Saccharomyces cerevisiae S288C: one gene and its partners. The gene in region 1 interacts genetically with each later gene. Each region holds a gene or a part of one and is shown in the gene's direction. Other genes may lie near its edges.

Evidence for each region.
Region 2: mutations in ERG28 (region 1) and ERG24 are lethal when combined (synthetic lethality), as found in Saccharomyces cerevisiae (one study listed by BioGRID).
Region 3: mutations in ERG28 (region 1) and ECM22 are lethal when combined (synthetic lethality), as found in Saccharomyces cerevisiae (one study listed by BioGRID).

What each region holds. Positions count from the first base shown.
Region 1 is NC_001137.3:236,957-239,623, reverse strand, and holds ERG28 (Erg28p), read left to right. Parts: upstream 1-1,607; coding exon 1,608-2,054; downstream 2,055-2,667. Other genes in the region: MEI4 (Mei4p), read left to right, coding at 1-1,164; SAH1 (adenosylhomocysteinase), read left to right, coding at 2,505-2,667. UniProt on the Saccharomyces cerevisiae protein: Part of the third module of ergosterol biosynthesis pathway that includes the late steps of the pathway.
Region 2 is NC_001146.8:108,560-112,249, reverse strand, and holds ERG24 (delta(14)-sterol reductase), read left to right. Parts: upstream 1-1,838; coding exon 1,839-3,155; downstream 3,156-3,690. Other genes in the region: pheromone-regulated protein PRM1, read right to left, coding at 1-1,333; HCH1 (Hch1p), read right to left, coding at 3,322-3,690. UniProt on the Saccharomyces cerevisiae protein: Delta(14)-sterol reductase; part of the third module of ergosterol biosynthesis pathway that includes the late steps of the pathway. ERG24 reduces the C14=C15 double bond of 4,4-dimethyl-cholesta-8,14,24-trienol to produce 4,4-dimethyl-cholesta-8,24-dienol.
Region 3 is NC_001144.5:599,438-604,126, reverse strand, and holds ECM22 (Ecm22p), read left to right. Parts: upstream 1-1,663; coding exon 1,664-4,108; downstream 4,109-4,689.

The sequences.
Region 1 (2,667 bases):
TGTTTTGCTTTAATTCAATCCAGGAATCCTACGTTGTGGAAGAGGGCACTTTCAAGAAAGAAAGGAGATGTCGAAGATGTAGGTGCTCTCAAGAGTGAAAAAAATTTAAAAATAAATCCTCGGGAAAACTCAAAACATATATACAAATGGGTTGCGCCTTTCGAAAATGGATTTTTGAATAATAAATCACTGTTTGCTCATCTGGAACCTATATACAATTTCCTTTGCCAGAATAAGTACAAAAGCTTCGAAGATGCAGTTGGTTTAAAGGAGCTGCAATCATTTAGCAAAGATGTATCAACTGCTGATATAAACAACTGGTTTTTACCGAGATATAAAATTCTGCTAAAAATCCTGAGCTTAAAAACAAAAGAAATTGACTTTAGAGGGTTATCGCAAGTGTTTCAAACACTCCAAATCTTGTTAGTTTCTCATTATTCGCATCGCATAGATTCTGATTCTTCTTTTAAGAGGACACTGATAGACGTTCATGTTTTCAATTTCATCGCCAAGTTTCTGTTTAATAGAATTTTATTGAAGAAGAACCAAAACGATCCAAAATGGCTTCAAAACTTTTACGACCAGGGAGATGGCAAACATTTATGTGATAAAGTTGACTACAAGCGCTTGTGTTCGTTGCATTTTACCCTTATTTACTCTATTATTAACATTCAACTCATCAAAATCAAGACAAACCAAACATTTGAACCGCAGATATTAAAATACGTATCTGTTCTGAAATTAATTGAACACATACTTATCATCATCGAAAGTCTGATACATGTACTTATTAGATTTGTATCGAAGCATAAACTAATATGCATCAACCGGAAAAAGGCGTACTGTCGAGTATACCTCGAAAGAGAATTGAGTTTGAAGAAAACCTACTTAAAGAACTTTTACAGTGTAATAAGCGGTGTCCCAGAAAAAGAGTTAGGGGGTCTATTGAAAATACTCAAGATAGTTATTCTATCATTGCTCGAGACATTTGAAAGCATTGAATGGCAGCACTTAAAACCTTTCCTGGAAAAATTTCCGGCTCATGAAATATCGCTTCAGAAGAAAAGGAAATATATACAGGCGGCCTTATTAATTACTGCCGAAAGAAATTTGATAGCGCGCTTTCGATTGTCAAGATGGTTCAATGAGACAGAAAACATTTAATTTTTCTTTTGCAGTAGGAGGCGCATTATAAAACACAAAAATATCGAAAGCTCTTTCATTTCGGGGACAACAACTTCAGTTGAAAATTACAGTGAACACAACATCTTCCCCAACAGACCTACATTAAAACGCTTCTTCCGGACTTGCCCATGATTAACCTAATCTTATACGAACTGAATTAAACTTTACGGTATTACCGATAGGAAACTTCTATTTTATGATTTTTTCGTTCGGGGACGGAACGAACAGGAAACAAAAAAAAAGGTACGATCCATTGTATTCTCTACCCCCGTATATAAAACTAAGCTGAACAAGCCTGTTGTTTTGCTTTACTATTGCTACTATTTTTGACGTAAACGCATTGACTAATTTCAGGTTTTTATATTCTTGACACTAGCTAGACCATAGTATCGAAGGATTCAAATACACTAAAGTATCAGATAATGTTCAGCCTACAAGACGTAATAACTACAACCAAGACCACCTTGGCAGCAATGCCAAAAGGTTACTTACCAAAATGGTTACTTTTCATTTCCATTGTATCAGTCTTCAATTCTATCCAGACTTACGTTTCTGGTTTAGAATTGACACGTAAAGTCTACGAAAGAAAACCCACTGAAACAACCCATTTGAGTGCAAGAACTTTCGGTACTTGGACCTTTATTTCCTGTGTTATCAGATTCTATGGGGCTATGTACTTGAATGAACCACACATTTTCGAATTGGTCTTCATGTCTTATATGGTTGCCCTATTCCACTTCGGCTCTGAATTATTGATCTTTAGAACTTGTAAGTTGGGAAAGGGATTCATGGGTCCATTGGTTGTCTCAACCACCTCTTTGGTTTGGATGTACAAACAAAGAGAATACTACACTGGTGTTGCTTGGTAATTCTGATGTAAGGGCAAGCATATCCTGTAAAAAAAATTATATAGAGATGATTTATTTATATAATGCCTATAGCAACCTTTATCCAAACCTTCCGTACATTATTTAACAGCAATTGTTTATCATTCATGATTATTTCTCAAAAAGCTGCCAATTTGGCTTCATTTCTGTAAGTATCCCTACCTCTCTCCTCTAACGCAGATATTTCTGTGCACGTGATCTCGTTGGCTTTTTTTTCGGCCGAAATTTTCACAGGCTAAGGCCGAAAAAGAAAGAAAATTTTCAGAGGAAAAAGAAAATTAAACGACCTCGAAGCCGTATTTTAGATTTTCCAATCTCTTATTTAGTAACGTGGTTTATTAACTCCATGATTCCATTCCTATTTGTTTTTCTTTCTTTCTGAAAATCCTCTTCTCCTCGAAATAACCCAACTGACAAAAAGAACAATTCCCAATGTCTGCTCCAGCTCAAAACTACAAAATCGCTGATATCTCTTTGGCTGCCTTCGGTAGAAAGGAAATCGAATTGGCTGAACATGAAATGCCAGGTTTGATGGCCATCAGAAAGGCTTACGGTGACGTCCAACCTTTGAAAGGCGCCCGTATTGCTGGTTGTT
Region 2 (3,690 bases), on another chromosome or scaffold:
GTGCTATCATGACAAATTGGCATATGCACACTAAAATTCCCAAAAGTCCAATTCCAAGAACACACAGTGCTCTTTCGGAGGTCATATAAGCCACTACCCATTCTATTTTTTGTTTAGTCTTTGGGTCAATGTTCTCTGGTGATTTTCCAAAGGTAACAAGATTTGTCATCCAGCCTGCTATTCTTGTGTTCCATGTTTGAAAGCACTGCTGATAGCTTGCAATGACATCATATTGGCCATTTTGTATAGGAGGATCTCTAAATGGATCTTTCAATTCGTGCGTGTTTTCACTGGAAAAGGACGTATACGAATCTTGCCTGCTCAGCATGTAATGGTCTCTCATTCCGCAAAGGCGCCTCCAGAGCTTGATTTCATTCCATGCAACGGGCGCCATCGCACCAACAGCGAAGCATATCAATACGGTAATGCACACTACGGTGGCTATTTTCAGGACATGTCCCAAGATGGAATAAAAGGCCAAAATTTCTGATTGATTGGATGAGCAAATCCCAGTACTGTTGTCAAGGGACACGGGAGGTACGTACAAAACGGAGGTATCTCCGATTATATTGCTGGCATTCACGGCCTTGATATTCTTCCGAACTTCATTGAAGGGAACCGAGATCAGGTTCTTGGTTGTATTCTTAACCTGGGCAAAGTCCGGCGTCTTTGCCGATAACTCTTCAAGCTTATCGTTGATTGAGGAAGGAATGTATAAATTGTGAAGCGCAGATATGGTTAAGTTGACGCTTTTGATTGACGACGTCATGTTACTGTCATCGTCATCACCTGTGAAAAAATTCTCTACTTTGGATGCGGCCTTGATCACTTTATTGATTATTTTGGAGATGTCATTCAAGCCCGTATCCAATTCATTAGCCACACTTGAAACTGTATCATTGACTAAGCTAATCAGTTTTTCTGTAATGTTAGTAGCAACGTCCACGGTACCATCAACGGCACTAACAATCAAACAGGCATAAGTGCCCAAATACAGGTCAATGGCAAAGTTTACCAGCCCCTCGCTCGCATATACTATAAGTGATAACGTCTCTAGCGTAGCTTTAACAGTCTCCTCCATACCCTTCTCGATAAGATAATTCCCCATGATACCTAAATAGTGCGGCGTGTTGTCTGTCATCTTGGAGTATAGTGAATCAATACTGTAACAATTGGACAAAATATACGTTTCCGAGACTTCTATCGCATGTTGTATGGATTTGGAGAAAAACAGAAGCTTCAGCATTGCTAGCAGCAAAACCAAAGTATACTTATTTAGCCATATTTGAGAGAGCCTGTCACCCAATTGCAAATAGCATTTAAAACCGCTCATATCATCAACGTTCACAAATTCGAAAGGGAATCATCCTAACCAAATATTTCGGGATTATCTTAAGGACTTATGTTGGTCACATTCGTCATATATATATACCTCTTGCCAGCAACAGGCCAGTTATAAGTTAAAATTAATATGTGACGCACTTCTGAAACAGTATTGAAACAGTATTGAAACATATGTATTACCCGGACTCTGCATGCTCTGTCGTTCATTTTATTTTCACCTAAACGAAAATCCCGTGAAAAAAATTTATATCGCCTTTCGCTCTTTTGTATGTAGGCATCATCGGAAATTTGCATTGTGTGAAGGTTGTGCATATAAAGGGTTTTGCATAACGGACGTTTTTCACGTACTCCGTCTGAGCATCAAGTGAGGCTTGAGTTTACGTTTGTTTTTAATAATCAGTTTTCATTCTACTATTTTCTTGCGCAATTGCTTATCAGATAGACCTTGTAAACAGCATAGGAGTAAAGACAAATTCGGTGTAGAGAATAAAAGGATGGTATCAGCTTTGAATCCCAGAACTACAGAGTTTGAATTTGGTGGGCTGATTGGTGCCTTAGGCATCAGCATAGGGCTGCCTGTTTTCACTATCATCTTGAATCAAATGATAAGGCCCGATTATTTTATTAAGGGATTTTTCCAGAATTTCGATATAGTTGAGCTTTGGAACGGTATCAAGCCATTGCGCTACTATCTGGGCAATCGTGAATTATGGACTGTCTATTGCCTGTGGTATGGAATACTGGCAGTTTTGGACGTCATTTTACCGGGCAGAGTCATGAAGGGTGTTCAGTTAAGGGATGGTTCGAAGCTTTCGTATAAGATCAATGGAATTGCCATGTCTACAACTTTGGTCTTAGTTTTGGCTATCAGATGGAAATTGACTGATGGACAATTGCCTGAATTGCAATATCTGTATGAAAATCACGTTAGTTTATGCATAATATCTATTTTGTTTTCGTTCTTTTTGGCGACGTACTGCTATGTTGCCAGCTTCATACCATTGATCTTCAAGAAAAATGGTAATGGCAAAAGGGAAAAGATCTTAGCACTAGGTGGAAATTCAGGAAACATCATTTACGATTGGTTTATTGGTAGAGAACTGAACCCTCGTCTCGGCCCATTAGATATCAAGATGTTTTCAGAGTTGAGACCCGGCATGTTGTTATGGTTACTGATCAATCTTTCCTGTCTGCATCACCATTACCTGAAGACTGGTAAAATCAACGATGCATTGGTCTTGGTTAATTTCTTGCAAGGATTTTACATTTTCGATGGAGTACTAAACGAGGAAGGTGTATTAACCATGATGGATATCACTACAGATGGGTTTGGTTTCATGCTAGCGTTTGGTGACTTAAGTTTAGTTCCATTCACCTACTCATTACAAGCGCGTTACTTGAGTGTTTCCCCTGTGGAATTGGGATGGGTGAAAGTTGTCGGTATATTAGCCATAATGTTTTTGGGTTTCCACATCTTCCACTCGGCAAATAAGCAAAAATCTGAGTTTAGACAAGGTAAATTAGAAAATCTAAAAAGTATTCAGACAAAGCGTGGTACAAAGTTATTATGTGACGGGTGGTGGGCTAAATCACAGCATATCAATTACTTTGGCGATTGGCTGATTTCATTAAGTTGGTGTTTGGCCACCTGGTTCCAAACTCCCTTGACATATTACTACTCGTTGTACTTCGCCACGTTGTTATTACACCGTCAACAACGTGATGAGCACAAGTGCCGCCTGAAATATGGCGAAAATTGGGAAGAATACGAAAGAAAAGTTCCTTACAAGATCATTCCATATGTTTATTAAGTTTTTCTACCACTGCTATTTTCTTCATTATCTATGTATGTGTGTATACATGTTATGTATTGGGTGAGTATGAGGAAGAAGAAGAATAACAATTGAAAACGCTGGAAAAATTAAAAGGGGCGGTGGTCTATCTATGCAACGCTCCCCTTTTCGTTACATGAACACATCAAACTTGTATATCCTTTGAGTGTTCTTTAATCAAGTCATCTTGGTATTTTAGTAGCGTTTCCACTACTTTAGGGACAAATTCAGACCTAACCAATCCATCAAAAGCATCAAACCCTTGCGACAAAATCGGAATATCAGACTCGTCATGCATAAACTCTGGAATTTCTAGTTTCCCGTCCGCAAGTATGCCGTCATCATCCTCGTCGTCCTTATTAGTATCCAAATTTGTCACTTTGACGTTCATCGACAACTGTAAGTCAAAGTAGCAAATCGGCTTGCCCTTCCTTTGAGATACGTTGGAGTCACCGGTGATGCTACTCACCTGGGTTAACTCAATTTTGCTCTTCCCATCAGAGGAAACAGTGGA
Region 3 (4,689 bases), on another chromosome or scaffold:
ATTTCATTTTTTCGCTTTGCTCAGAGTTGATTCTCTTTGTTTCTTGCGCCAGGATCATCCGTCTGTTCAAGGCGGAGTAGTGCAAAAAAGTCGAGCCGTCAAGCCCCAAACGTTCAATACTTCCATGTTCTTCAACGCTAAACGCGACATTTGCGAGTCCTACCACGTCTTCTCCGTTTACGGGCAAAAACACCTCTTAACATCAAAAATTTGGCTTTCGTGCTTTTTTCTGAAATATATTCGTTGCATAGACACGGTATGCATATGAAACATTCAGGCTAGCAATCAATACTTAAACCCTTTACGGGCGTGCATGATGTATCAGGAAACCAGTTTGAGAATGTCGCCCACCAAGCTCCATGGAAAGGCGCAAACCAATTACGCGGAACACAAAAATGGGCCTTTTTTTGATCGCCTCAAAGGCCGGACCAGGTTCGTTAAACGTCTGTAGAGGTGCCGAACAATTTTTGTCTAGAATAAATTTCCATTTTTCTGGCATTTAATTCTAGGCTTTCTGGTCTCTTTGTTCTTGCAGCTAGCCCATTGGGTGCTCTTCAAAATATGTCAATATCACCTTGATTTTGAAAATGCGCCCGTAAAATTGGACTTATGCTACAAATATATTCTACAGGAAAAGATCCGCAAGGTCTGCTTTAGCGTAAAAACGACCTCCCAGTATTTTATATAACCTCAGCCATTTCACTGAATGATACATAGTAGCATATATAGCTAGGCCTAAATGTATTTTTTTTTACAACTTTTTAGATCGCTGCGTGAAGGATGAAACTTCATATGAGTACGGACGTTTGAAAGGGTAGAGTGGCGCTAGCATAGAAATGCCATTTCTCGGAGGTGTCATCATTCGAAAAGAACTCAATTTTCAAGCGATTGAGATTCAAAGGCAAACCGATGCCTCCTCATTGGTCACATCTTCATGTAAACTGTGGCTGCTTTTTTTTCTAAATACTCTATGACTACAGCTTTCCTTTGTACAAACTCAAGTTTATTTAATCGTCTTTTTTAATGTTTATGTTCAACATACCCGAAACCACTACAAGACGGAAAATACTAGAGAAACATCAACAAATGAAAAAAAAAGGCTACAATCCTCGGATGAAACTGATAAAAACGAGCACAGTATATGCCGAGTCGTAGCATTTAACGTACTAACACTACTCGCCAAATCATAAGAGCTTCATGCTGACGTGTGTATCTATATCGCTTTTACAGATCCTGCAACCGACAGAGCCGAAAACGTAATTGGTGACTCGTTCCTCGTTCTTGTCGGAAAAATTTAAACGAGCGCGTTCGATAAACTCAACGAAGGCAAGTTTGAACAATAGATGTTGGTCGTAATCATTCGTTCTTCGACTTTTATAGCCTTTTTTTTAACTTAACGAACTCGTACTATCTAATAGTTTATTTCCCCTTGTTTTTTTTTGTTACGATTGGGGAAAAGCAAGGGTTCCCTGCGTCTACGATTACATCATCTACTAACTAGTCACCGAAATCGATTATCGTCGAAGGAGAAGCAACCAAGACCTCCACTTTTCAAAGGCACAAATAACATTTCGCCTTTACATAATATAGAGGAGTTAAGTCGACGGTTTTTTTCATTTAAGGTTTATATTTCGTTTATCCATAGATCTCCATCTAACATAACATGACATCCGATGATGGGAATGCTGGACAAGAAAGAGAGAAGGATGCTGAACTGATTGAGGTTGGGGGCAAGAAAGTGAGCAAGACTTCGACAGGGAAACGGAAGTTTCATAACAAGTCCAAGACCGGTTGCGACAATTGTAAAAGAAGAAGAGTAAAATGTGATGAAGGCAAACCATTTTGCAAGAAATGTACAAACATGAAATTGGACTGTGTTTACAGCCCTATTCAGCCAAGAAGAAGAAAAGATTCTTCGTCGTCAAAATTTGCATCAGCGGTCCACGATAGGGTAGGCAAGAAAAATCTGAGTGACAATGCCATCATGTTACAACAACAACAACAGCAACTTCATCATCAACAAGAACAGCAATTTCGTCAACAACAGCAAGTTCAGTTACAGCAGCAACTGTTGCCACATGTTGGTACTGATGAACAAAGCAATTCCCCTAATAGCGTTCCTCCATCCGTATCCAATAATATGGAGAATCTTTTGTTACCGCACCTATTAGCGAGTTTAGTGAATAACACCAGTAACAGTACCAACAGCAGTGCAAATGGAGCTGAAGCGCATAATAATATAACACAAACAGCTCCCAGTTCAATGATAAACAACAACCACCCAAACATGGCCCTACCAGGGAATTCGCCATTGAGTATACCGATAACACCTAGTTTTCAATCAACGGCCATGAATTTATCAAGTAGCCTTAACGGCTTACTCTCGCCTGGTAGGCTAAATTCGGTGACGAATGGATTGCAGCAGCCACAACTTCAACAACAAAATCAGCAAATTCCACAACAACAAGGAACACAGTCCCCCTTCAGCAATATTCCCTTCGACCAGCTAGCGCAATTGAACAAGATGGGCTTGAACTTCAATATGAAGAGCTTCAATACATTATTTCCATACGGTGCTGCAAATGGAATGGCCTCTGAGTTTCAAGAGTTATTTGGCCTCGGAAAGTTTGCTACATCTAATAACAGAGCAATCAAAGTTAGCACAGCAGAGGAGGCACTCGCAAATATGCAACAGGAACAGGAGGACAAAAACAAGCAATTTACGAAGAACCCATTGGATAATACTAAGACGGATGCTGTTAATTCGGGCAATAACCCCCTTAACGGAAACGAAAATAAAGTTACTGCTTCTGATATACTATCTCATAACAAAAACTTGATAATCGACAATACCGGTCTCACAATCAGTCCCCCACACACGTTGTCCAAACCTTCCATAGATCAAAACATTGCGTCCCCTTCAACGGGAGTATCCAATGTAACCTCTACAAAGTCATTGTTATCTATACCGGACAACAGGACCGCTTTGGGAAATTCTCCTACTTTGAAGACGTCCCCAATGGGTGACCTGTTATCCAACTCGGAGGCATTGTCTCCACGTTCATCAAATTCTCACACTCAACAACAATCTTCTCCCCATTCAAACGCTTCATCAGCCTCACGACTAGTCCCTGAATTAGTCGGGCTGTCTAGAAAATCAAATTTGAATTTGATAGATCTAAAACTTTTTCATCACTATTGTACTGACGTATGGCATACCATAACCGAAGCAGGCATTTCTGGTCCTGAAGTATGGAGCACTTATATTCCGGATTTGGCTTTTCATTTTCCCTTCTTGATGCATACAATTTTGGCTTTTAGCGCCACTCATTTGTCCAGAACTGAAGCCGGCTTGGATAACTACGTGTCTAGTCATCGTTTAGAAGCGTTGAGACTGTTAAGAGAGGCTGTGCTCGAAATTTCAGATGATAACACAGATGCTTTGGTGGCTAGTGCTCTAATATTAATCCTAGATTCATTGGCAAATGCTTCAAGCAGCTCACCAACGGCATGGATTTTCCATGTTAAAGGCGCCGTAACTATACTAACTGCTGTATGGCCCCTGTCGGAGACATCCAAGTTTTATAACTTAATTTCTGTTGACTTGAGTGATTTGGGTGAAGCTGTAATCAACCAAAGTAATCATAATAATGATAATGACAATAGCAATAATGGTGATGGAAATAACAATAATACGATATCGGAACTCGTATGCTTTGACGAAAGTATAGCAGATTTATATCCCGTAGAAATTGATTCACCGTACTTGATAACTTTAGCATATTTGGACAAACTGCATCGCGAAAAAAATCAATTAGATTTTATGTTGAGAGTCTTCTCATTTCCTGCTCTTTTGGATAGGACTTTTTTAGCATTATTAATGACAGGCGACCTAGGGGCCATGAGAATAATGAGGTCTTACTATACATTATTGAGAGGTTATACCACAGAAATAAAGGACAAAGTGTGGTTCTTGGATAGCGTATCACAGGTTTTACCACAGGATGTTGATGAGTATAGTGGAGGTGGTGGTATGCATATGATGCTGGATTTCTTAGGAGGTGGGTTACCTTCTATGACCACTACAAACTTTTCAGCTTTTATGTAATTTATCAAAATATAAACTCTTTTCTTTCGATGGGTCAGTGCTACAGAATGTGAACCTCATCGATGAATAACTACATTATGTTACTTCCGAATATACTGGCCATTTTGAGGAATCCACAAAAGGAAATGGATACTTATACATAGTAGTATTATTATTTCTTCTTTCGTTTTTATATGTTGTCAAGTGATCATTAATAATAACATGAGTTGTTATGGTAACAATTTAAATGTTTACATAGTATATTGAGGTACACCCGGTATACGTTTATGTGTAAATGCACTAATCACAGGATAAAAACTTAAGCGAGCAATTCAGACAATGCTGAGCTGAGTTAAAGATATATTGATTGAACATAATGTGGTAGCTACTTATATATATGAGGAATACGGGTCACCACACTAAATACATAGTAACTACCAAAGGCACTTTTATGTTAATAATAAATAATAATGAGCAAATCTAATGCTTTCTTGAAAAATAGGTGGATTTTATGGGTGAATAATTGAATAATTGTTGGGATTCTATTGTTAAAGGCACTAATAGTGGGCATACGTTAATGTGCCAGGAGAATATAGCAACAT